Linked DNA regions of Drosophila melanogaster. The protein of the gene in region 1 purifies or fractionates together with the protein of each later gene. This does not show direct contact. Each region holds a gene or a part of one and is shown on either strand. Other genes may lie near its edges.

What was found.
Region 2: the proteins of Ror (region 1) and otk purify together in Drosophila melanogaster (affinity purification with western blotting, with the first as the bait; one study listed by BioGRID). This does not show direct contact.

The regions. Positions count from the first base shown.
Region 1 is NT_033779.5:10,247,593-10,259,674, reverse strand, and holds Ror (Ror), read right to left. Parts: upstream 7,833-12,082; 5' UTR 7,709-7,832; coding exon 7,611-7,708; intron 7,401-7,610; coding exon 7,248-7,400; intron 7,192-7,247; coding exon 6,601-7,191; intron 6,537-6,600; coding exon 6,320-6,536; intron 6,269-6,319; coding exon 6,064-6,268; intron 6,008-6,063; coding exon 5,560-6,007; intron 5,483-5,559; coding exon 5,350-5,482; intron 5,291-5,349; coding exon 5,078-5,290; 3' UTR 4,989-5,077; downstream 1-4,988. Other genes in the region: Pten (phosphatase and tensin homolog), read left to right, coding at 100-199, 262-434, 502-646, 760-947, 1,019-1,126, 1,278-1,440, 1,502-1,611, 1,682-1,897 and 2 more; CG5676 (uncharacterized protein), read left to right, coding at 3,860-3,954, 4,405-4,597, 4,661-4,843; CG31717 (uncharacterized protein), read right to left, coding at 8,174-8,779, 8,848-8,856; bsk (basket), read left to right, coding at 10,465-10,580, 10,761-10,890, 10,953-11,150, 11,214-11,478, 11,540-11,823, 11,902-12,027. UniProt on the Drosophila melanogaster protein: Tyrosine-protein kinase receptor that functions during early stages of neuronal development.
Region 2 is NT_033778.4:12,011,598-12,023,280, reverse strand, and holds the start of otk (off-track), read left to right. Parts: upstream 1-3,434; 5' UTR 3,435-4,351; coding exon 4,352-4,403; intron 4,404-7,385; exon of another isoform or gene 7,386-8,186; intron 8,187-9,156; coding exon 9,157-9,291; intron 9,292-9,360; coding exon 9,361-9,522; intron 9,523-11,683. UniProt on the Drosophila melanogaster protein: Acts as a calcium-dependent, homophilic cell adhesion molecule that regulates neural recognition during the development of the nervous system. Component of the repulsive Plexin signaling response to regulate motor axon guidance at the embryonic stage.

The DNA.
Region 1 (12,082 bases):
TGGAGTAAATAGAAGACAAGCACTGGTTCCCAAATACATTTGAATGGATGCAGCTAATCTAATTTAAATAAAAAAGACAAGTCTTTAAACCTTAAAAATATGGCCAACACTATTTCGTTAATGTCCAACGTGATACGCAATGTAGTGAGTAAAAAACGTATACGATACAAAGAAAAAGGATACGATTTGGATTTAACATGTAAGTTATTGAATCAACCGCAATCATTGGAATATTAAATTAAATTATCTATTTACCCACAGACATTAATGATAACATAATTGCCATGGGCTATCCAGCACCGGATAAACTAGAGGGCCTATTCAGAAACCGTCTGGAAGATGTCTTTAAGCTATTGGAAGAGAATCATGCCCAGCATTACAAAATCTATAACCTATGCTCGGAGCGTAGTTACGACGTTGCTAAATTTCGCGGGGTAATTTTGTTGAACTTTTTCTATTTGTCGGCGTAAAATATGTAAAATATACTATTTCGCATTACAGAGAGTAGCTGTTTATCCGTTCGATGATCATAACCCTCCAACGATTGAGTTAATACAACGATTTTGCAGTGATGTTGATATGTGGCTCAAGGAAGATTCGTCCAATGTTGTAGCCGTGCACTGTAAAGCTGGAAAGGGCAGAACCGGTAGGAAATGTGTTCAACATTTTGTGCGAAAGTTCATAAATATCATGGCACACTATGATCTTGTTTCGATATTTGTAGGGCTAAAAAACTAACCCAGTTTTTTTTCATTTCAGGTACCATGATCTGCGCATATTTAGTGTTCAGTGGAATTAAAAAATCCGCCGACGAGGCATTAGCGTGGTATGATGAGAAGCGTACAAAGGACCGAAAAGGTGTGACAATCCCATCTCAGCGTCGATATGTTCAGTATTTTTCCAAACTAGTTTGTTCAAGTGTTCCATATTCGAAAGTAAGCCTTAACGTGAGTATTTCCAGCAGCAGCGCCACATTCAGCGCCGTACAAAATCTAAATATGCATTTTTTGTATCTCAGGTATGTGAAATACGCTTCTCGGAGTCCAGTTGTGTGCAAAACTTAGGCATGGTAGAATGTTCAATATCTGTATTACACGACTCAGCCACAGAAAATGCAAAGCCAGATGTAAGTATATAAAGTATATAGATACATCATTGATAGACTATAGACAGCATTTTAAAAATGTATATTTCACACGATTTCAGTGCAGTAAAGTGTTCCTTTTCGAATACCTTTCTAACCAGCAGTAACATTCTTCTTTTTTTTATAATTGCAGAGACTGAAAACCTTGCCGATTGATTTTCAAAAATCATTTGTTTTGACCATTAAACCATCAATACCAGTTTCCGGCGATGTAAAATTTGAACTCACAAAAAAATCCCCAGATAAAATCATTTGTCACTTTTGGCTAAATACGTTTTTTGTACGAAACTATTCACGTAAGTATACTTAATATCGCACATGCATTAAATAAACGATTTAATTAAACATTCTCTTTAGCTTGCGAGTCCGATGGAACAGTTAACAAATATATACACACTTTAAGCAAATCAGAAATCGATGATGTACATAAAGACAGTGAACATAAAAGATTTTCAGAAGAATTCAAGGTAGGATATTTCGAAGCATTTTAATAGATGCTGCGAAATTACCAAATAAATGTGCTTGCTCTCTTTTCAGATTTCAATCGTTTTTGAGGCAGAGAATTTTAGCAATGATGTTCAAGCTGAAGCGTCCGAAAAAGAGAGAAACGAAAATGTTTTAAATTTCGAAAGATCAGACTATGACAGTTTGTCTCCAAACTGCTATGCCGAAAAAAAAGTCTTAACTGCGATCGTCAATGATAATACAACGAAAAGTCAAACAATAGAAACGTTGGATCATAAGGATATAGTTGTAAGTGAAAACACGTTTTGCGCCGATCAATATGCTTAATCTATAAATCTAATATTCGTAGACTAAAATTCAATACGACACATCAACCAATTCAAAAAATACTTCGACTGCGTGCAAACGCAAACAGCCTAATAGCAAAACTCTTTTACCAAGCTTGAATGATTCCACAAAAGAGGAAATAAAACGAAATCATATATTTAATCAACCGTCCATTAAGAAAACTGATTTAATCAAATGGCAGAATAGTGAAGTTCATATCACCTCTGACACTCGAAGTATAAACGAAAATAAGAACATCAATTACAATTCATACATCACATGTAAACAATCCTCTCCAAAATTCAACTGTGGTACCGAAGATGGCGAGGAAGATTGGGAATCCGGTGAGTTTGCTGCACACTATACTCTCAATGACCAGATCTCACTAAAAATCTATCCGTTTTAATCGAGTAATACCGAACAATTGTTCTAATTTCACATTTATTTAATACTAAGAGTTTCGATTCAATTGATTTCTGGACCATTATCGGTTTGATTTTGTAATTAATTGTATTGTATGAGTATTCAAATTAAGATTTGTTAAAAGAGATAGCCTTTATCGACATATGCTATCGTCCACACATTTATATTCTTATTGACTTATTGAATTCGCCAGAATAATCACCCGAGACGATTTAAAAGACTTCTGGCTGAACGATCTCTTAATTTTGATGTATAAAACGAAGCCACCAGAACTGGATTTATATGTCCCCAAGACTTTTACGAGTATACTAGCAGAGACAGGCTTACACAGATCCACTTCCTTTCACGGGGAAACGATCGATTACAGCTGCGCTCTGCACATCTGTTTAGAATTTAATGTACATAGGTGAGTGAGTGGGAGCCCATGCCTGCGGCTCGAATGGTCAACTAACCGGCAATCCTTAATCAGTATCCGCATCGATTTTCATCACACATCCCTCACCGCTTCATAAGTATGTGACTCTGGGCACTGCCATTGTCCTTCTACTCAATTCATTTAACAAAACTAGCACCGAACTGTCGAACTTCGACTAATTCGACTATTTCACTGTTGCTGTTGAAAACTAAATATCCTGAAGCAGAATGTGTCTTTTGTGTGTTTCATCATCATCAAAAGTCTTCTGCTTTTAATTCATTCATGCTATTTTGATTTTTATCGTATTCTCGTTGAGTTTTAGTTAATAAATTCATTAAGCTTGTTTGAGCAAAAAAATCTAAACTAATAAATGAATATTTTTCTTTATTTCCAGGTGAATCAACATACCTGTAATCAATGCTTATTACGGACTTATAATTCTTGGTGATTTAGCAAAGTAATTAAAATTGCTAAGTAATTGGCTAATCTATTCGAATTTGTAAATATACTGTATGATATTTATTTAAGTAGTTTTAACAATTATTTTAAATAAACTCATGTACATTTTGTATTGTAGATTTCATTCGAACTTTGGGTTTTTGTCTAAAGTAAGGGGGGAGAAATAATTGACGTTTAGAAAAAAATACTTAAATTTATAGTTTTGATCTCGAAACTAGTTTTCGACACGAAAAGTGCAGCGATTAAATGGATATCTCATATTTTATTGGAATTTAACTAATAGTTTCAAATGAGGCAATAGCTAAGATAAATAAATAATAAGAGGTTCTTGAAATTTGCCAATTGTTGTGCAAAGCATACAGGATTCACAAAGGTAATTATCAGATTAATAATAAATATTCAAAGTATGATTATTCCAGTTTCTACGTTAAGTGCTACCAGTTATTTTTCTTACTCTTTTTCCCATAATTCCCCTAACATATGTTCCACTTCCGAGTTCCAATAAACCCAACACAAAAATGTTGTCCAAATTGACGCTATCTTGACGGGCATATATTATTGTGTTAAATTGACGTAAACTGGGCGGTCAGAATTTCGCATCTTAACGTCGACATCTAATTTTAAAAATGACTAATTATTCGGAAATTTTTAAGAAAGTTTTTAACGATATTGGCCAACGTTCAGCATATTCGCAGATGCTTATTGGCGTTTCATCAGGATGGTATGTGGTTATATCATTGCGGCGCATCACTTAAATTTTTAGCAATGCCGATTGTCTTTGGAATTTGAAGTAAATTGATTTTTTGCATACTTTCGGTAATAGCTGGTAGATAACTGCAGAATACGTTTTTAATTAAAATATACAACTGAATGCTTAGCCGCTCCATCTATTGCAAATATGTACTTCTAAATACGTGTATAAATGAATGTTGTTTGTTTGCGGGATACAGAAATATAGGACCTCCCTAAAAAGGAAAAGAACTAAATAGTGTAATAAAATGAGTTATTAATCAGATAAAACTGATATAATTTGCACAAGATAAGCTAGATAACTCGGCAATTTACTATACATGTATATGCGCCAAATGATGAGTTGCAAATTTAAGGAAATCCATAGAATTTGCTGGAATTTGTGTATCTTATCTTACTAAAAATATAACAATTTTTTCAGGGTCACAGGATATACGACAATGAAAATAGGCAAATTTGCTGCCTTTGCAGTTGGCGGCAGCATAATCTTGCTCGAAATCGCCCACCAAGAAGGACTTATAAAAATAAATTGGTCTAAGTTGGATAAGAGCGTGGATAAGCTCGCCGATAAAGTGGAAGCCTCGCTGGGTCGTGAGAAGAACTGGAAGGATAAGGTATAATTCATTTAAACCGTTTATCTATATGCTTACTATATTTATGCTGAACTCAATTTGCAGACCGAAAGATATGTCGACAATCAATTAGACAGAGCTGAAAGCCTCCTAACCCGAAACGGCAAGAAAGTGGCGAAATGGTACACCAAACTGATTGGCGATGAAGAGGGTCCAAAAGTCAACGATCTGCACATATTTTTGGCATCATTTTTCGGTGGCGTTGCCCTGGGCATTGCTACTGGATAAAAGAATTTTCCGATTGGCACAACAAAACATTTAAATACCATATGGTTATTACGAACAAATCTCACTTAATAAAGTTACAAAAAAGGTAATTTAATCGAAAATCAATTGGTTCTTTCCCAAAACATCTCAACACTCTTCGGGTTTTCGATATCATTCGTTTTATTAAATTCTTAAACCTACTTATTTTACAGTCCATTTCGTTGAAAATACATATGTATGTGTAAAATCTTATGTTTACATTTCTGGATTACTGGCCTTAAAGTGGCCCTCGTGCCAAGTTTTGAGACGGTTCGAAATATCTGTGAATGTTGGACGTTTTACTGACTGCTCATGCCAGCACTCGATCATTAGCGAGTAGACAGCAGTGGGACAGTTTTCCGGAGCGGAGAGCAGTTGCCGTGAACGGATGAGATTGATTACTTCCTGATTGCTAAAACCGTAGTATGGCTAAAGGGATAGCATTGGAATTAGATATTGCGCATTTAAATCAAGTTTAAGATACTTGCCTGCATTCCATAGCTGTATATTTCCCAAAGAACGACTCCAAAGGACCAAACATCGCTCTCGGTCGTAAACTTTCCATACAATATCGATTCCGAGGGCATCCACCTTACAGGCAATAGCGACTTTGACTGAACTCTGCAATAAAAACCAGCAAAAATGTTTGCTCTTTGTAGCTGCAATCTTGATATATATATGTATATCCAAAGTCTTACCGATAATAATCTGAGCTGTAAATGTCTCTGGATAGTCCAAAATCGGATATCTTCACAACCAGACCCTCGTTTACCAGGCAATTCCGAGCTGCCAAGTCGCGATGTACGTAATGATGGGCCGACAGATACTGCATTCCTTCGCTGATTTGTAGAGCTATTTGCAGGAATTCCAACTGCGACAGCGACTTGCCTTCGGTGGGTGAGTTTGAGATTAGGAATTCGTGCAGATCACCATTGGCCATGTACTCGAACAGCATGCAGTAGGGCTCCTTATTGAGCACTACGCCCAATATGCACACTATATTCTGATGCTTTAGATCCGAGATTAGTTCGATTTCGCGCTTAAAGTCCTGCTGCGTTTTCACCGAGGCGTTTTCCTTCAACGCCTTGATGGCAACTGTTATGGTGGTTTTGTTCGGCTGCAGGAGCTGTCCCTTGTAGACTTTTCCTACAATCGAAATGATATTAAGAACTATATAACCTGATTATACTGGAATTACGAACCAAAAGCTCCTTCGCCCAGCTCCTCCAGAAACTCAACATCCTGCAGCGTAAAATGGTTTATCCTCAGCAGAGTATTTCTTTCGATAAGTTTGGAGTTCAAAGCAACGTGATCGGATAGATTTCCCAGATTTCCCCTGCCAGCATCTTGTGCGTTATTAAGCTGCGAATTTCCGTAGATATTTTTATCGGCGCTGGGTGTGTTGATCTGTAAGAATAATTGTAATACTCTGTTGTATATCCTTAGATTTTTACTCACATTATGAATATTCCTCATTCCATAGTGCATGATTGTTCTCCTTTTGAAAAGTATTATCGCAAATATAATTATGAATATTAGAATAATGGCTGCAGTCGTTCCGACAATGGCAATCCATATTTTGTCCGCACATTTTGGAATATCACAAAGTTCGATTATGCGTTCACGTGAGGAGTCCACAAAACACCAAGGACTATTTTCAACGCTTCCAGGATTTCTAACGAGATTTAAATATAAATTATTATTTCGATTTCCTTTCGAAATAAATTAAATAAAATTACCTGCAATAATTCTGACCGATGAGTTCAGGGAAATCGGAGATTTCCTTCATCAGCCATGACCATCGCAAACATGGCTTTCCGGATGCGGAGACGTTGGCCACTCCTCTATATGTCGATCCATCCTCCCAGTAACAATTCTCCGTCTTATCCACCTCGATGGTGATGCCCAAGGATAGGCAGTCCTTGTGCTGCGGCAACTTTTGGCAATCCTCCACACCCACCATCCCGATGACGGGATGTCGCTTGGCAATGGCATATTCCTTCTGGCACAGCTCGTTCTCCAGAAGTTCGCACTCTTCGCGGCAAATGCGTTTTAGGTTCTCAGACTCTCTGGTTGGTGGGTATTTACTCGATATGTCTGTGCTGAACACATCCTCGTAGATGGTGGACTTCTTCTTGAATATGCTTATGTTCTTAATGTCCTTGGACTTGGTTCTCTTCCGTCGAATGCTGACGTTCTTCAGTTGCTTGGCATTTGTGGCCACGTTGGCGAAGTACAAGAGATTCGTGCGCTCTGGAGTCCGGCAAATTGGCATTGAACTGAAACACAAGCTGGGCAAAGCGTACATGCGGCAATTTGCGTTCATATCCCTGAAAATATGCACTTGGCATTAGCAACGGAATGTTGAAATAGTTATCATACTCACTTGGATTCCTTGATTACTCCATAAGCTGCCTTTAATCGCTCCTCCAAATCGTTCATGGTGAGATTGGGGGATACGAAAACATGGGCATTGCTCAAGACATCGCGACAAATGGTGCCATTGTAAATATGGCAAATACCTGATGATTGCTGGAAACTGCAGGGCAAATAATATATTGCATTTTTAAGGATTAAAAGGATAAGGGCGTCTAAAGATTTCTGCATTCGAGTATACACTATGTTTAGTAATTTAAAAATATATAAAACATGTTAAGCTCATGATTTCATTAATTATTAATTCCACACAAAAGTATTTCGCTAATTATTGTTGCGGAAACTTGGGAAAACTTTCAGTGAAAATACCTACCCATATATTCTTGAGTCCACATTATGGCTCCCCACATCCTTTTTTGTAAATAAAAGCACGAGCGAAATGCAGACTATAAATGCCGAGTATTTGTTCATATTGCTTAATCTAGCTAACAATATGAAGCCTTTTGTTATTTCAATAGTCCAATTGACATGCCAACGATTCCGAAAATATTTTTGTATTTATCCTTTCGCGAAAACTTTATGTGGCATACAACATTTCATCCCCCGACGAAGTCGTTGGGGTTGTTGACTCCTTATCGATGAATCGATATATTTAGGAGTGCTATGACTCGGAACAAAGGAATTACACTATAATTTCTTATAATTAATAATCCAAATATCTTCAAAAGCTTTATTTATTTTATTAAAGATGGTTGTATAACGACTTTAGTCTCATTTAAAGTACACTTTCCCTTTTCACAGTGAAATAAGGGTAGAAAAATTATGCGAAATACACAATAATATGAATTTAACATTAACAATGTATTTGGTTAAAGCATTTATCATAATGATCTAGAGATTATCTATTGCTTTCGGTGTTCCAATCGTAACTTATCGTTACTCCATGCTGTCGACAGTTTCCTCGGTAACAAAGCCCACAATGCTAAATGCAGTTTCCTCGCTGATCCACAGAAGTCCCACGATTAGTGCCTCCAACACTCCGATGGCAGCACCGGCGCAGATATCCAAAATATAATGACGCTGGAGGATGAGCCGTGAGATGGCCACGCTTACAGCCCAAGCTGTGACCGGCATTAGGAATATGATGTGAAGCGGATACAGCTTGGCGAAGAACAGCAGCACAAAGAACGCCCGGGAGGCATGACCTGAGGGAAAGCTGAACTTATCGGGTCCAATGGTCAGCATATCCTTGCTGGCCACCGGTCGCCTGCGACGAACAAGCGCCTTCAGCACGGCCACGATCACTACGTCGAGTATCAGGCCGAAGAGCATATTGACTTGCATTTGATACAAGCTCTTCGAGCTGAGCAACCAGATGAAGGCGATCCATGAGACAAACCAGGCGATTCCATCGCATGATATCTCCAGAAATCTGCTGTGGATCCGCAGGGATTTGAAGAACGACAGATTGGAGACGGCTACTACAAAATGCTTCGACACCTGAACATCCTTCTCCAATAGGTATTTAAGTGCTGGTGATGACTGCAAGGACAAGATTTTAAAATTAGCACTTATCAGCTTATGTGATTCATCAGTGGCCAAAAACCAACCGTCCTCATATCGCTGTGTATTTCAACTCTTTTGTTTTTATTTATTGTTAGTGATGACAGTATTTCTCATTCGTCATTCGATGTATACTCGATAAGTCGAGCAAAGGAATATCTAATGACCGGAACGGTGAAATGAAACACTGCGCCAACTTAGTTTTTGGTCTTTATTAAATAAATTGCATTTGTATATGTTTATTTGTAAGTTATTAACACTTATTAGGTTTTAAACCCCTAATTAAACCTAATTTTAATCAAAAGTCGATTGGCTGACTTTAGCCGTTTCTGGTTTTGGTCCTACTGCAATCTGGTCACATCGATTTAAGTAACTTTGTTGTGATCGAATATTCCAATAGATTTTCGTATATTGTATTGTATCCATGTACAATTATTCTCATGCGAAAGTGCCGCAGATAGTTGATTCTTAAATTTCAATAACATTAACATAGTTTAAAATGCTCGCCACTTTGAGTGCCCAGTGTGTAGAATAAAATAGAAAAAAAATCGATTTTATATTTTCACAAGAAATTCTGTACTTCTTCGTTAAATGGTAAATAAATATTCTATTACGTTCCATTCACATCAAATATCGAATCACCGAAACACTCCTGCAAAACGTGCCATAATCGATTGAAAGCAATTATAGTTGTGCCGGTTATGAAAAAAATTATTGATATTTAACATAAAATGTCAACTGCCCAAAGAGTGTATGTACCTATGTATGCGCAAATGTCTAACGTTTACATATCGACACTACCCGAAGCGTAGACCGCTTTATTATCTGCAGCGCAAACGAGCGCTTTTTCGATGTACGAATACGGGGAATATCTTTTATCTGAGAGATAGTTTGAAAAGTTACTAAATTATCGACCCACATTTGTGTGGCTGTATGTGCATATGTATGTATGTGGCTTACATCTTACACATATGTATACCAGTAGAAGTTTACAGTTTTCATCCGCATACAAATCGTGTGTATGTACATATTTACACAGGCAACGGCATGCATACACATGAACGCTATGTACATCGCTGTGGTCCAACATTCCGTACTTTTATGTTTAAGCCGGACATATCGATTTTAAATCGGTTTTTTTTCCTGTGCGTGCCGCTAAACACTTTGCTCAAAGAACGAAACGCTCGGTTATTTCTGTTGGGTGTTTTTCCAACCATATTCGACATGTGTTCGGCAAACATTTAAATGCTTATCAATAGAAAAGGGGGTTCGGCATTCGAAGTCGGCTCAAATAAGTGACTGCGTTATGCAATTGTATCTTTTTGAAGGAACTCGATATTTTTTGCTCGTGGTTTGGCAACAAACTCGCCACACACTAGCCAGTAAATTTCACCCCTCGCGACAACAGAGACCCACTTAATGGCCATAACATTCTGCCGAAATAAGGCCAGGCAAAGTTAATGTTTTCCTACCCCCTAATTCCAGACGAAGTTGTCTGAAAACTGCCTCCACCCATTCAGAATGGAGCCATACATACGGACGTCTTTGCTCCTTATATAAAACAGAATCACACTGTAAAACCGTATTGATTTATCTTATTTACCCTCTTGAAAAGGCCGATATGCTCCTTGCTCTCAACTAGTAATAAATAAAATCAGTGAACAATGACGACAGCTCAGCACCAACACTACACCGTCGAGGTGGGGGACACCAACTTCACCATCCACAGTCGGTACATTAATCTACGGCCCATAGGATCAGGTGCCCAAGGAATAGTATGGTAAGTGGTTATCAATATGTTATTACATATAATACATTTAACAATTTTTTGGCTTAAACAATTAAGATATTTCGCATGAGTATGAAGTCATATTTGTAACGCTCCATTGTATATTAGATTAGATTAGATGGGATTAGCTGGAATATGAAAAAAAAAAATAACAAATTTAATGCATTTCAGCGCCGCTTACGATACTATCACCCAGCAAAATGTGGCGATTAAGAAACTATCTCGACCATTCCAAAATGTAACCCATGCCAAGCGAGCATATAGGGAATTCAAGCTAATGAAGCTTGTTAACCATAAAAACGTATGAAACTTGCACCTTTAACTTTAACAAATTTCTACTAAACATAGGTATTTAATCCGTAGATAATTGGCTTACTTAATGCTTTTACGCCGCAAAGGAACTTGGAAGAGTTTCAGGATGTCTACCTGGTCATGGAGCTGATGGACGCTAATCTCTGCCAGGTCATCCAAATGGACTTGGATCACGACAGAATGTCCTATTTGCTTTATCAAATGTTGTGCGGAATAAAACATTTACACTCAGCAGGAATTATTCACAGAGTACGTACAGTATGAATACATCTTTAAAATGAGTATGAAATATATGAAATACTTCATTTGCAGGACTTAAAGCCATCCAATATAGTTGTAAAGGCCGACTGCACTCTAAAAATTTTGGATTTCGGTCTGGCACGTACTGCAGGAACTACCTTTATGATGACTCCCTATGTGGTCACCCGATATTACAGGGCTCCAGAGGTCATTTTGGGCATGGGATACACAGAGAACGTGGACATATGGTCCGTCGGTTGCATTATGGGCGAAATGATACGGGGCGGTGTGCTGTTTCCTGGAACGGATCATATAGATCAGTGGAATAAAATTATTGGTATGTTGCTGCTTAAATAACTTGATTCTCGTTATGATTGTCAACTTTTACGTTTTTTCAGAGCAATTAGGTACACCATCACCCTCGTTTATGCAACGGTTACAGCCAACCGTCCGAAACTATGTGGAAAATCGTCCTAGATACACTGGATACTCATTTGATAGACTTTTCCCCGATGGCTTGTTTCCAAATGATAATAATCAGAATAGCCGCCGGAAGGCTTCTGACGCTAGAAATCTTCTTAGTAAAATGCTAGTCATTGATCCAGAGCAGCGGATATCTGTGGACGAGGCTTTGAAGCATGAATATATCAACGTGTGGTATGATGCTGAGGAAGTGGATGCTGTAAGTGATTCTGGCATAAACTGGATTTCTAGGAATGTTGAATGTTTTTAATCGCTTAATTGCATGCATCTCTTGCAGCCCGCTCCGGAGCCATATGATCACAGCGTGGACGAAAGGGAACACACTGTGGAGCAGTGGAAGGAGCTAATCTATGAGGAAGTCATGGACTACGAAGCACACAATACAAATAATAGAACGCGGTAGAGAACGACTTTTTCCTCCTTAGTCAGTCACAAGAAAACTAAAGCTTACCAACAAT
Region 2 (11,683 bases), on another chromosome or scaffold:
TTTATCTAGTTTATATATATATAAATATTTTATGTATTTATGCATGTGTGTGTCTCTGTGTATATATCCCATGTACAGTTATTTTTTAGTAGAATAAATATTTTATGGCTCTCATAGAGCCCCATTTTATAGCGCAATCGTTTCAATCTCCTTTTTTTTGCGGCGGACAAGCGTTGTGCGGGGCTCGTAAACTTCCTCCGCTGCTCCATCGTAAATTGGAAGCCCACTTGGCACGGCCGTAAAGCCCATGGAACCCGGATGAGTGTTCTGCCATGGCTTTTTATGCGCTTTTTATGACAGACGGAGAAGTTTGCTGCACATAAAGGCAACCCTCCCTCCCCCCTCCGATAAAAAGTCGTAAAATAGCGCGACATTCCAGCGTTTCTTCTTTCGTTTAATTAAAACAATGAAAGTTTCTTCATAGCAATTATAGTTTATCAACATGTTGAATAGTATATCTTATATTTGTGATAGGAAAAAGGTATCCTTCCAATGCCAAATTACTTAACAATTTGTTTTGGATTCTTTGACTAGCTTGCACCATGATATGCCATCCTTTGAGGCAGTGTCACCCATACCCATCATCTTGTAGGGAATTTCCATCTAAAGCATATCCAGCGACAATTTCCCTTCAATTGCCGGCATCTGCACTTAATCGCTTCATTTCCATGTCCATTTCCATTGGCATATGCTGGCAATCTCCAATTGCCAGTGTGCTTTATGCATATTTTATGGCTTTTTATAGCGCTCGAATAAACAGCGCACACCACACATCAAAGGCGTTATCCAAAGGCAACTACACATGCGCAGGTTACTCCGCCACCAGGCAGCAGATAAAAAAGTAAGCGGCAAGTGCAATTAAACGACTGCGACTACGACCACCCCTGCCTGCATTTCCACCAGCCGCCCATCAAATGGATTGGTATGGTGTGGTATGGTATGGTATGGCATGGTATGGTATCCTATGCAGCACCCCAACCTCTCTATATGTATGTACCATGCACCTACATATGTACATATGTATGTATAGGCGATTTGCCTTTGATCTGCGGCGGCGACGACGACATCGACATGCATTAAAAACTTGTTGTTGGGGGCCCTTCCGCTGATGTTTTTCCTCTTCTTCGATTTCCCCCTTTTTTTTCTATTTCTTTTTTTTTGGTACTTTTTCGCCTTATTTGTTTATAGTAAGTGCGCACGGGGCGGGCCTCAGCCCAAAAACACCTTCAAACGCTGTGTACTACAATATATGTACGTATGTTTATTTTGTTTAGTCTACGCAAAGGCCGCGTTACTAAAATTTATTTTAATGCCTTCTAATGTTTGATGTTTGCTATGGGCGGCATTCCGATTTGGATTCTAGCCGGAATCCGTTGCAACTTTTGGGATGCTCCATAAAATTATACGATTGCGAGGCGTTGAGTTACGGTAAGCAGTTCGAAATAATAACTTAAACATATATGGATGGCGGTATAGTCGAAAGACCCTAAAAGATGAAAAGATTTCTTTCTAGTTTGGCCAGGAATAAGTTGCAACGTTTAAAACTTTCCAAGAACAGAGCAATCAAATTTGTAACGATCTTCTAAGGATATACTTAAGACTTCCGACAAAGAGTGCGATTTCGAAAATAAAATTTTTCAAATTGAAACTTTTTGTATGTATGTATTTATCTACTGATTTAGCAAAGAGGGTCTCATATTTTTGAAATAAATGAAGTTGTGGCATCGTGCGACTTATCCAATTAACATATTACCCCTTGGCAACCCCTTTGCAATATGAAAAGTTAATACAATATTATTAACACACCATTTGCAGCTTCGGTTCGCCCGATCGCTTTGCACCCCAAAATCAAGGGAGGCGAAGGCGAAAAGGAACCAAATTCAAAACAAGGCCTATAATAAAACATAAGCCCTACATTCCAGCCAGGCGATGGCATAAATCTCCAACTTTATGACATCAATAACTGTCGTTCGTCCGAAGAGTCAGCGCGAGCACTGGGAAATGGGAGGTGGAAAAGCGCACTGGAGGCCCAACTTTGGATGGTCGGTCCCTTCGCCCTTCTGGGCATCGCCATGGCCAGCCTTTGATAACCGCACACACGCATTTCCACGCAGATATAATCACAAAGGGCCCGGACTGTTAATCAGGGGCGGGGTTTGGGACTTTTGGGGGAAGGAGGAAATGGGGTGGGCACCACCCCTCTCGGTTATATAGTTTATACAAATGGCAACGGCAGTTTACGACTCTTGGGTGTCAGTCAACGCCGGCTAAAGGATCAGCTGCAATTGTTTTTGTGGCTCTTCGCTTGGTTTTCCATTGTGCGGGGTTGAAAGGCCTCGTAAAAAAATCAAGCGGAAAACTATAAAATGGAAATCCACACACACACTCACGCAGGCCCGTTCTCATAATCGCACAGTAGCAGCCAAGGACTGTCTTAGATGCACAGCAATAGGTTTGATCTATTAGAATTTGTTTAAAAAGTTTAGAAACTATAATTTTATACCAATCAACCATTTTACCTATCCAACAATTTCATAGAAAACTTCTACAGTTTTATAAACATTATATGATTAAGAGCCGAACCTTTCAATCAAAAGATTCAATTGGATTTAAATTTATATGTCATTGTTTTTAAATTGGTTTTGCTGTATTATCAAAATTTTCCTTCGTTGCTCTTAGATAACATTTTCTCTCATAGAACATTTTAAAATTTTCTTTATTTCTTCGAGTGTGGAAAATTGGTAGTGGAAGTATCTTGCAGTTTCGTCGTATATCTGCTCGTAAAAGCAGCAAGCCACCAATGGATTTCCTCCCACTGCCGACCGGCCACCCCATTTTAGCTGATTCTTGCTTTGGTCATTAAGACGCATTATTGTTTGGACTCAAAAAAAAAAAAACAGGGGGAAACGGTTGGATGATGAGACAGCGGGCGGTTTGCATAGTGACTCTCTGATCTGATTGCAGACAACTGATAGCTTTATTTCATCAAATGAAATTAGGAAGAGTGTCGGGTTCAGCTAGGGGGAATAATCGCAAATTAAATACTCATGTTTGATATAAACTCATAAAACAATTCTTAGTTTTTTAATCACAATAAACCATTTTTACCACATCTCACGATGATCATCTTAAGTTGGTTGCTCTTTATAAATATTATATATTTATATATATTATATAAATTAATTTTAGGTTTTGGTGTATTTTAAATTAAATGAAACTTGTGAGTTAAGTCTTTAAAATTCCACTTCAAACTTGCCGCGCCACAAACGACTGCTGCAGCTCGGCAGCACTGGCAGAAATACAGGGCATGCAAGAAATACTGGTCACGAGTAGGTATATTCCACCGGAGAGAGCGCTAACTGAACCCAGTATTTTCCGCTGAGAGAGCAGCAAAAGCCGGTTCCCACCAACAACTTCGAACAGCCGGCGGAGTTCAGTAATAAACAGACTTCGAACGCGTGCAGTTCAGATTGAGTTTGAGGTTCGATTGGATTCGAGATATCCAAGTTCCTTTTGCGCTACGTTTTGTTTAGCCGAGTTTGCCCCGAACTAAAATCACCCACCAAAGCCGGTTCGGGATGCGATGATGCCAAGGATGCAGCTGATGCAGCCGGGCTCTTGTATCTTTAAGATACAAATTAAGTTGATTTGTTGCGCTCGCGTTCTCTTGGGTAATTGAACCCCACAGTTGGGCTCCTTGCGCCCTCTGCCGCGCGGTCTTCGGTCTTCGGTCTTCGAGCATTTCGTTGCATTTTGTGTATCTAGATACCTTTGTCGGTATCCGTATCCGTCGCTTGTCAATCTGGTCGCTGATAAAAAAGCAAACGCGAACGCAGCCACGAAACATAAACCAGCCGTCAACGGAAAATAAAAGTAAAAAGCAACAAACAGCAAGTGGCGTATCAGTTCGTGTGTTCTCGGTGATAAATGCATTTCATGCGTTCCAACTATGTAAATAGCAATTTAATTTGAGTGTCCACAGTAAACATCAAAAAACCGCCCTGGACTCCAGTCACCACCACCAACAACACCATCCCCGGTGGAGCCCAGTGATCCCATTGAAACCCCGGTAAACCCCTGAAAAGGGCAGTCGTTGTCATCGTCGTCATCGTCGTCGTCGTCGTACGTCTGTGCCATCCAAATATTGAATATTTACAAATGCGTTGAGTGCATTTTCGAGTGGCCGGCACTTACAGTGACTATCTGGTGGATGTGCGAGTGTATTCATCGGATTGCCAGCAGCATAAAACTTCGTTTTCGATACTGATCCAATACGCGAGTGCTTATATATTTTTTGTGTCGCTAATTGAGACCAAAGGTGTCGAAGTGCGGCGGTTATACATATACGCAGATGACTGCTAGGATGATCTCAATATGCGGCCTGGTCATGGCTTTGATGATGGGTAAGTGGTCTGCTACGATTGGATTTTGTGGACTAAGTGAGGGATTGCCTTATTCTCGGGGGGTTCTTTGCAATCAAATTCATTTCATTTGCTTAAGGGGGTTCTCAATTCCCATTTATTTGCTTATTTCGATGTCGGCATTTGGCGATTGCCTTTGCAACTGAATCGCTGGGAACTTCAAAGGAATCACAACATTTGTGTTGCGCAGAATATTGGCCATTCCATCTTGGGTGAGACCACCCATAATATGGACTCTATTAACCTCGAGGGCTCTGCCGTCCACACAGAACTACTCCTATTTCCTTATTCTCCAAGGGCGATTTTGTTTTGCGAAGAAAAACCGAAAACCCAGAGAGCCTTTGTCTCTGGCTATTCAATTTGAAAGGCAAGCGGCGTGCAAAATGACTCAATTAAAAGTCAGCCAGGAGCCACCAAGCTGGCATTACTAATTTGGAATAGGAGAAGGAAAGCAGCGGGAGAGGAAGCCGTTTGGAAAATTATGAGTCTCAGGTCTCAGTTCAAAATGAAGTCATTTTGGGCAAACATCAACATCGAAAATGTGACGAGCTCACTAACACAGGCAACAATTGAGGTCCTTGTGGCCAGGTTATCCTTTTCAATGACAGATGTTGCTCATTAAATACTTTTCTTTAGATAAAGTAGTTAATTTATAGGCAGATCAGCTAAAATACTCGCTCGGAATAAGAAAATATTGTTATAAAACTAATAAATATTTCATTTCTATACCTTTTAGATCCGTTCTGTTTTAATAGATTCACTAATTAGAAACACTATATAGGCATGTTTCCGAATGTTTTTTCCCAGTGCTAGCACACACACACACTTGAAATATAAGGACCATCCTGCCAAGGATCACGATACCCACTTGAAGTGAGACAAGCGACGCCGAAATTTCGGCTAATCAAATATAGTTTACAGCGGGGATTACGAGTGGGATAAGGATCGTGCCCGAAGGAGGGGGATCTCGGGTCTCAAGAGGGACACGATTATGCAAACGAAGGTCCTTAACAACGCATGTGTGTGCGTGCGTTCGAGTGTGTGTGTGTGAGACAGGACAGAGCTGAAAACTGCTGACTGTTAAGTAGCACAAAGGCAAACAGCCGCTAACAAAAGCCAGCCGGCAGACAGCGAGGATAGGGGGATTTGGATTCGCATATTTCAAAATCTGTGCAACGCTACTACAGAGGTCCATTATTTGTATGGCAAATAATGTGGCTGTCAGTGTGTGTGTGTGTGTGTGTGCTTGTTTGTGTGAGTTCCTTTTGTGTGGCAGTCATAATTTGTTATTCAAGCATGCAAAATGCTGCATGCAACATGCCAGGCCAAAAGCAAAAGCATCGTACATCCCACATTAAGGGCAGCTGTGGCAACTACAAAACTCCCCTTCACCAACCTTTGCCACTGCCACTGCCACACCCCCCGCCCCTGGTCCTTCCGCCTGTCTGCATCCTTCGGCAACCTTAAAGACTGCCAGTCGAAAGTTCTCCAGAGGGTTCTCTCTCGAAAATTGTATGAACTAGTCATGCATTTGCTTAGAAAGCCGGGGTATAAAGGGAATTTCAGGATTTAATGCTGCCTTATAATGAATCCAATTTATTAGGCTGTGTTCTATGAACAACTGGTCTCCGTTTGAAATACTTTGAATTGAATACAGCATCCTTGAGGTTTTCTACTACACTGGATTGGCTGGATAAGGGTATTTTACCTATATGTAATAGACATAAAACCATAATTTTGTAAGCTAGTTATTTCCTACAAAGTAGCGTTCAAAGAAATCATATCCAAAATGGTATTTATTTTACACATAAGAAGTAAGAGACTACATAATAACTTTTCATAAATAATGCTTGGCAGGCAGTACGATTCCCATTTTCATGTTGTTAAATCAATTTTGTTTGAAACACAAAGGAAATGATCCCGAGAAGCTCGATTGTAGTTGAAGGGAAAATCCCTGAATAAAGCCCTGATGACTGTTTATTAGCCATGCTGTAACCTTTAAATTGAATTCCAACTCTATCAAAGACCATCCAGTCCTTTTTCTGGCCATTTTTACCCCTGAAAAAACCCTAGATCAAACGTTTGACGCGTAATTGTCAGACACAATTCCACTTTTCATTCAGTGCCTGTCTGTCTGTTGACTTGCAGTTTTCCAGCACCGCTTTTCCCAGACAAATGCCTCGCATTCCACAGTGACAGTTCAGTTCTAGCCCCCCATTCCCCATTCCCATTGCCACCCCCCGCACACAGACACACGCACACAAAATCAAATCAAAACGCCACCCATGGGGCAAGTTCAAGTGGCTGCCACAGTGGGTTGCCTGATTATTACTACAATATTTCGCATTCATTGTGCTTAATCGACGAATGTTGCCGCACCATTTGTGGCAGTCGAAGTTGGATCTGTATCCGCATCTGCATCAGAATCTGAATCTGAATCTCAAAGATGCTGATGAGCATGAGGCCACAGCAGTGGGCACTCGTAATACTGCCTGCTGCTGACTTGCTGATTTCGGTTATTCGAGCCAAACAAACGAACTAATTATCACACACGCACACACACCCGCGACGAGGGTAAGTGGAAGAATGGAACGATGCACTGAGAAAGATTTCTTTGGGTTTAAAAAAAGAATCTTTAGAGTTCCAAGTACACACCTTAAAGTATATAAATCACAAACGTATTACTTGTGAAACGGTTGTTATAGAGAAGATTGTTATACCTATAATGTCAAAAGATAAAAAAAGATAAAAACATCTACCAATTCCTATCATAAACTCTGTCATATCTCATTACATGCTCATAATTTGCGAAACTGCTTACCAAAAGTTATAAATAAACATTACTTAGTTTAATAAATCAATTGAAAGACACAGTGTTGAAAATTCGTTTGTATTGTTTTTAAATTTAGAAAATCAAAAATTCCCACTTGGCTACCCTTCTTTTTCGCCAGTGTATGTCCACAGACAGATCGAGATGGGCAGTTGGAACCGGGACTGCCCGCTGCTCCGTGGCTCTGTCGCTGATGTTTGCAGCATCAACACTTTTTCAGTTTGCTGCTCGGCTTCTGCGGCATCAGTGCTCCTCCACAGAGCTCCACCTCCTGCCCCACTCCTCGTCGCTTTCCGCACCCTCTCACGCATTTTTGTGCCCACATCAGCGCAATCAACGGACTGCGGAGCGGGACGCATATTTCTTTAATCGACGCCCAGTAACTGACATTGTTCCCTCGTCTCGTATCGAATCGACTCAACTCGACTCGACTTGACTGGAACTCGAACTCGTTTTCCGCACGGCAAATTAAATCGATTCAGGGGAGGATCGAGTCGAGCAGGGCAGGGAGTTAAGCCCAGCCAAGAGGAGGAGGTGGAGGGCATCCCGGTGCCTGCCCAACTGCCTTTTCGGTTGGGCCGTGTATCATAACACGTCTGTCGGCGATGTGACTGGCATATGAATCGCATGGAGTTCCTCCTTCGAACGTCGAAAGGCCAGTAATGATGTTGTGGCTGTTGTTGTTGGCCCGCTTATTGATTCCTCGGTGCGGTCGTGCTCTTGGCCAAAAAGGAACTGCGCCCGGGACCCACAATCTGAGGTGTTGTCTCAAATTGCTCCAATTAGTGGCCAAATATAATGGTTGCCGTTTTGTAGTTCTTGTTCATGTTCCTTGCTCCTGCTACCCAAGTCGTATAATCAAAAGTAATTGCGTTTGAATTGCTTTTCGTTTCGAGTTGCGGTTGGGAGTTATGTATCTTCTGGCCATATCTACTCACTTGACTTTGTAGCCTCGAATGGCGCCACTTGTGGTCTGGATTTAAACAGCTTCGATATGAAAAGGTTCTTCGCTCATTTGGTAATCGCCATTGAAATGCATTCATATGGGCCACACCTGACCAGTGAATTGCATTTTAAATGCAGCAAATTGCATTTGCGGCTGTTGATTTAATATAACAACCGATTTGCATTCACAAATAAATGAGAAACACACAAATTAAATGTATAAAAACATTTTTCCTCTCGAAATGCGTTTATTTTTCGCATGGTTTTTATGGGCGCCTTTTTCTTCTGGCTTTTAATTATGTTGGTACAAAACTCTGAATACGTTTTTGTTTGTTTTTTTTTTTCACCATACACATATTGTAATTTTGTTTGAGGACACGCAACTTTGGACAGCAATGGCGTAGGTTTTTTCTCCATGCCTCTCTCTGATACTCTATAAAGGGTATTTTTTTAAATTTTAATGGCAAAGATCATTTCATTTAAGCTTTGAACTTATGTAATTATTTAGTTTGTAACAAATTGTCCAATAATTCAATAATAATAATATGCTACTTAATAAGCACTTTAATCATTGCAGCTAAAGAGTATTCAAAAAGGGTTTTTAGATTTAAAAAAAAAGCCTCTGTTTTTTGTGCTTCCGCCCTTTTTTGAGTATTTTGTTGCTGGTGTTTCTGCCTTTGCTCCTGCCCTTGCAGAGCGCTTTACAAAATTACATTTGCGTTAAACACTGTAATTTAAGCAGCTTAAGCGCATTTAATTTGTTTAAACCACTTTAATTAAACAAAATTATGGTTAATGCACTTTTTTTTTTTAGTTAATTAAGCCAAATTGTTCGATGTTCAATTTAAATTTAAAGGGACTTTTGTAAGAGCTGCAAAACTCTGCCCTTTAATCGGGATAATGGCTGACTGTAATGAGATCCAGTTTACTAATTTCCCTCGCTTATTTCTATAATTACAGCTTCCGTTTTGGCCAGCTCATCGCGTTTCCAGCGAGTGCCCCAAAGTCAGTCCGTGGTGGAAAATGAATCCGTGAAATTCGAGTGCGAATCGACCGACTCCTACAGTGAACTGCACTACGACTGGTTGCATAATGGTGAGCAGTGCGATTTACATATCCCATGGTTGTGCATTAAGCATTCGCCTTCCTTGCACTCCATTCCAGGTCATCGGATTGCGTATGACAAGCGTGTCCATCAAATCGGTTCCAATTTGCATATCGAGGCGGTGCGGCGCACGGAGGATGTTGGCAACTATGTTTGCATCGCGACAAATTTGGCCAGCGGCGCCAGGGAGGCGTCTCCGCCCGCCAAACTGAGCGTGATATGTGAGTAGTTATATTCCCAGTTTCAGTCCCCATCTCCATCCCAATCCCAGTGCCCATGTCATTCCAACTCCAAGACCCACAATTGTTCGCAATAAGCAAATTGACTGATGGTTAAGGGCGACAGCAAATCTGTCTTTGCTTGTGCAAATTAACAAAGCGAAATTGAATTGTAAGCGGGTAGTTGAGAGCACTGCAAAAAACTTCACTTGATATTGTTACATTTTTATATCTAAAAACTGAAGTTAGTTCTTGAGCCATAAACTTTCAGTGGAATATTACATAGAACTTACCTAGATTGATAGTAACTGCTGCACTCTGTAAATGCTCACCGGTTTCTTTGCGTGTAGGGCAAATTCATTTGATTAATGCTGCATTTAATGGTATTCCAACCCCAACCCCACCTCTCCCTGGCCCAAACCCCCCTTTTCAGATACGGGCAAACCACAAGACAACAAGAAAAGGTAAAGAGGCATAAAAACGCAACCGAAGCGAACGGAACGCAGCCCAACAAACCGATGAAAGATAAAAACCGAAAGTTTTGATGTACATGCGTCAGATCCCATGCTAACCCAGTCCCTTTTGCCAACTCCCCCTTCCAAAGACCCCCCCCCACCCCTTCACCAATTAACCCCTTCGCGCAGAGCTACAGGAAGTGCAGTGCAGTGCACAGAATGCATCCCATGCATCGGACCGTGAAGAAGAAGACCCTGGTCGAAGAAGAACCACACAGAGAAAGATCACTTGGTTCTAAAATGCAGCTATGCATTCGAAAAGTAAACTTCTTTGAGAAAACCATCTTCAAGATACATCCTCAAGATACATCTTCTTCTTTGCAATTATGATAAATTGTAGAGTTCGTTTCAAATCTACCTTTTCAATTCTTAATAGCGGATAAAGAAACATATCTATGAGTCTTGAGTTAAAACAATACGATTAGATAAAATATCTCTCAGTGCATCGCTGATTTCCTTCAAGTAGCAAGTGCAGTTGCAGTTCTTGGCCTCGTGTTGAGGCAGCGGCGTCACGTGATTGATGTTCATTTAGTTGCGTTTGCCTTTAAGCAGAAAAATGCATAAATTTACCAAATAGCTCCCCCCACTTCCCCTACTCCACCGTCTTCCTTTTTCATGTAAACAAAACGCGAGTTTTATGCACAATCTGGAGTGCATGTGTTTGGGGGCCCTCCAATATACGAGATACATATATCTGGTATCTGGTATCTGCTATCTGCATCTGCATCTGCATTTGTATCTGTATCTGTAGCTGGGCTGTCAGCGCGGCCACGGCATCCGAGCTGTGATCAAAGCCACCCAACAGCAGGGGCATCTTTCCTCCGCCGTCGCTATTTATACACCAGCCTCATCTCAAGTGTTTTTAGCTAATTAATTAACTAATTAATTTGTAGTTTCGGGAGTTGATTTTAATTGCCACAGCTCCCTTCCCCCCCCAAAAAAAAAAACAGCTGCTGCTGAAAAGCGTGGAGAGTGTATATATATACGTATTTGTATCTTGGAGGGGATGCAGGGAAAGTATCTTGGCGCCAGCTGAAGCTAAGTGGGTTATGTGATTACCACCTACTCCTGCCCAGCTTGCATCAATCTCATAATTCTTGAGCAGCAGACAAAAACTATTAAAATATGCATGGGGCAGTATGGATGGAGATGGTGTCGTTGCTCCTCAGTTTTAGGATTCGGTAAATATTTTATTCAGGACTCGTCGCCATTGTGTCCCCTGGCTGCATTGTCTTAGCCCGGATTATCCTTCCCCGTCTGCACTTTTCTCGCAAATAAGTGTTCAATTAAGCGCGAGAAAAGTGTCATTTTCCTATGCGACATTTAACAAATTTGCAATGGAGACTGGAAAACAAGAAAATTGTGTGGATGGGAAAGGCAATCTGGTAAAAGCTCATTAGATAGTGGAATATATACTTCTGCATCAATATAAAATAGCAGATAGATAGAGCATTAACATTTTAAATGGTAAATAGGTACTAAAAGTTCGGAAATAAACATATTTTTAAAGAAATATTATGAGTTTGTAAATATATTTTAGTCTTACAAAAGATACACACACATAGTTGAGTTTTAGTACTAAAGTTAATCTGAATTTATGAAGTTATTGTGAGTAAGCGCTTCTTTAATGAAAGGCTAATGGAAATCCC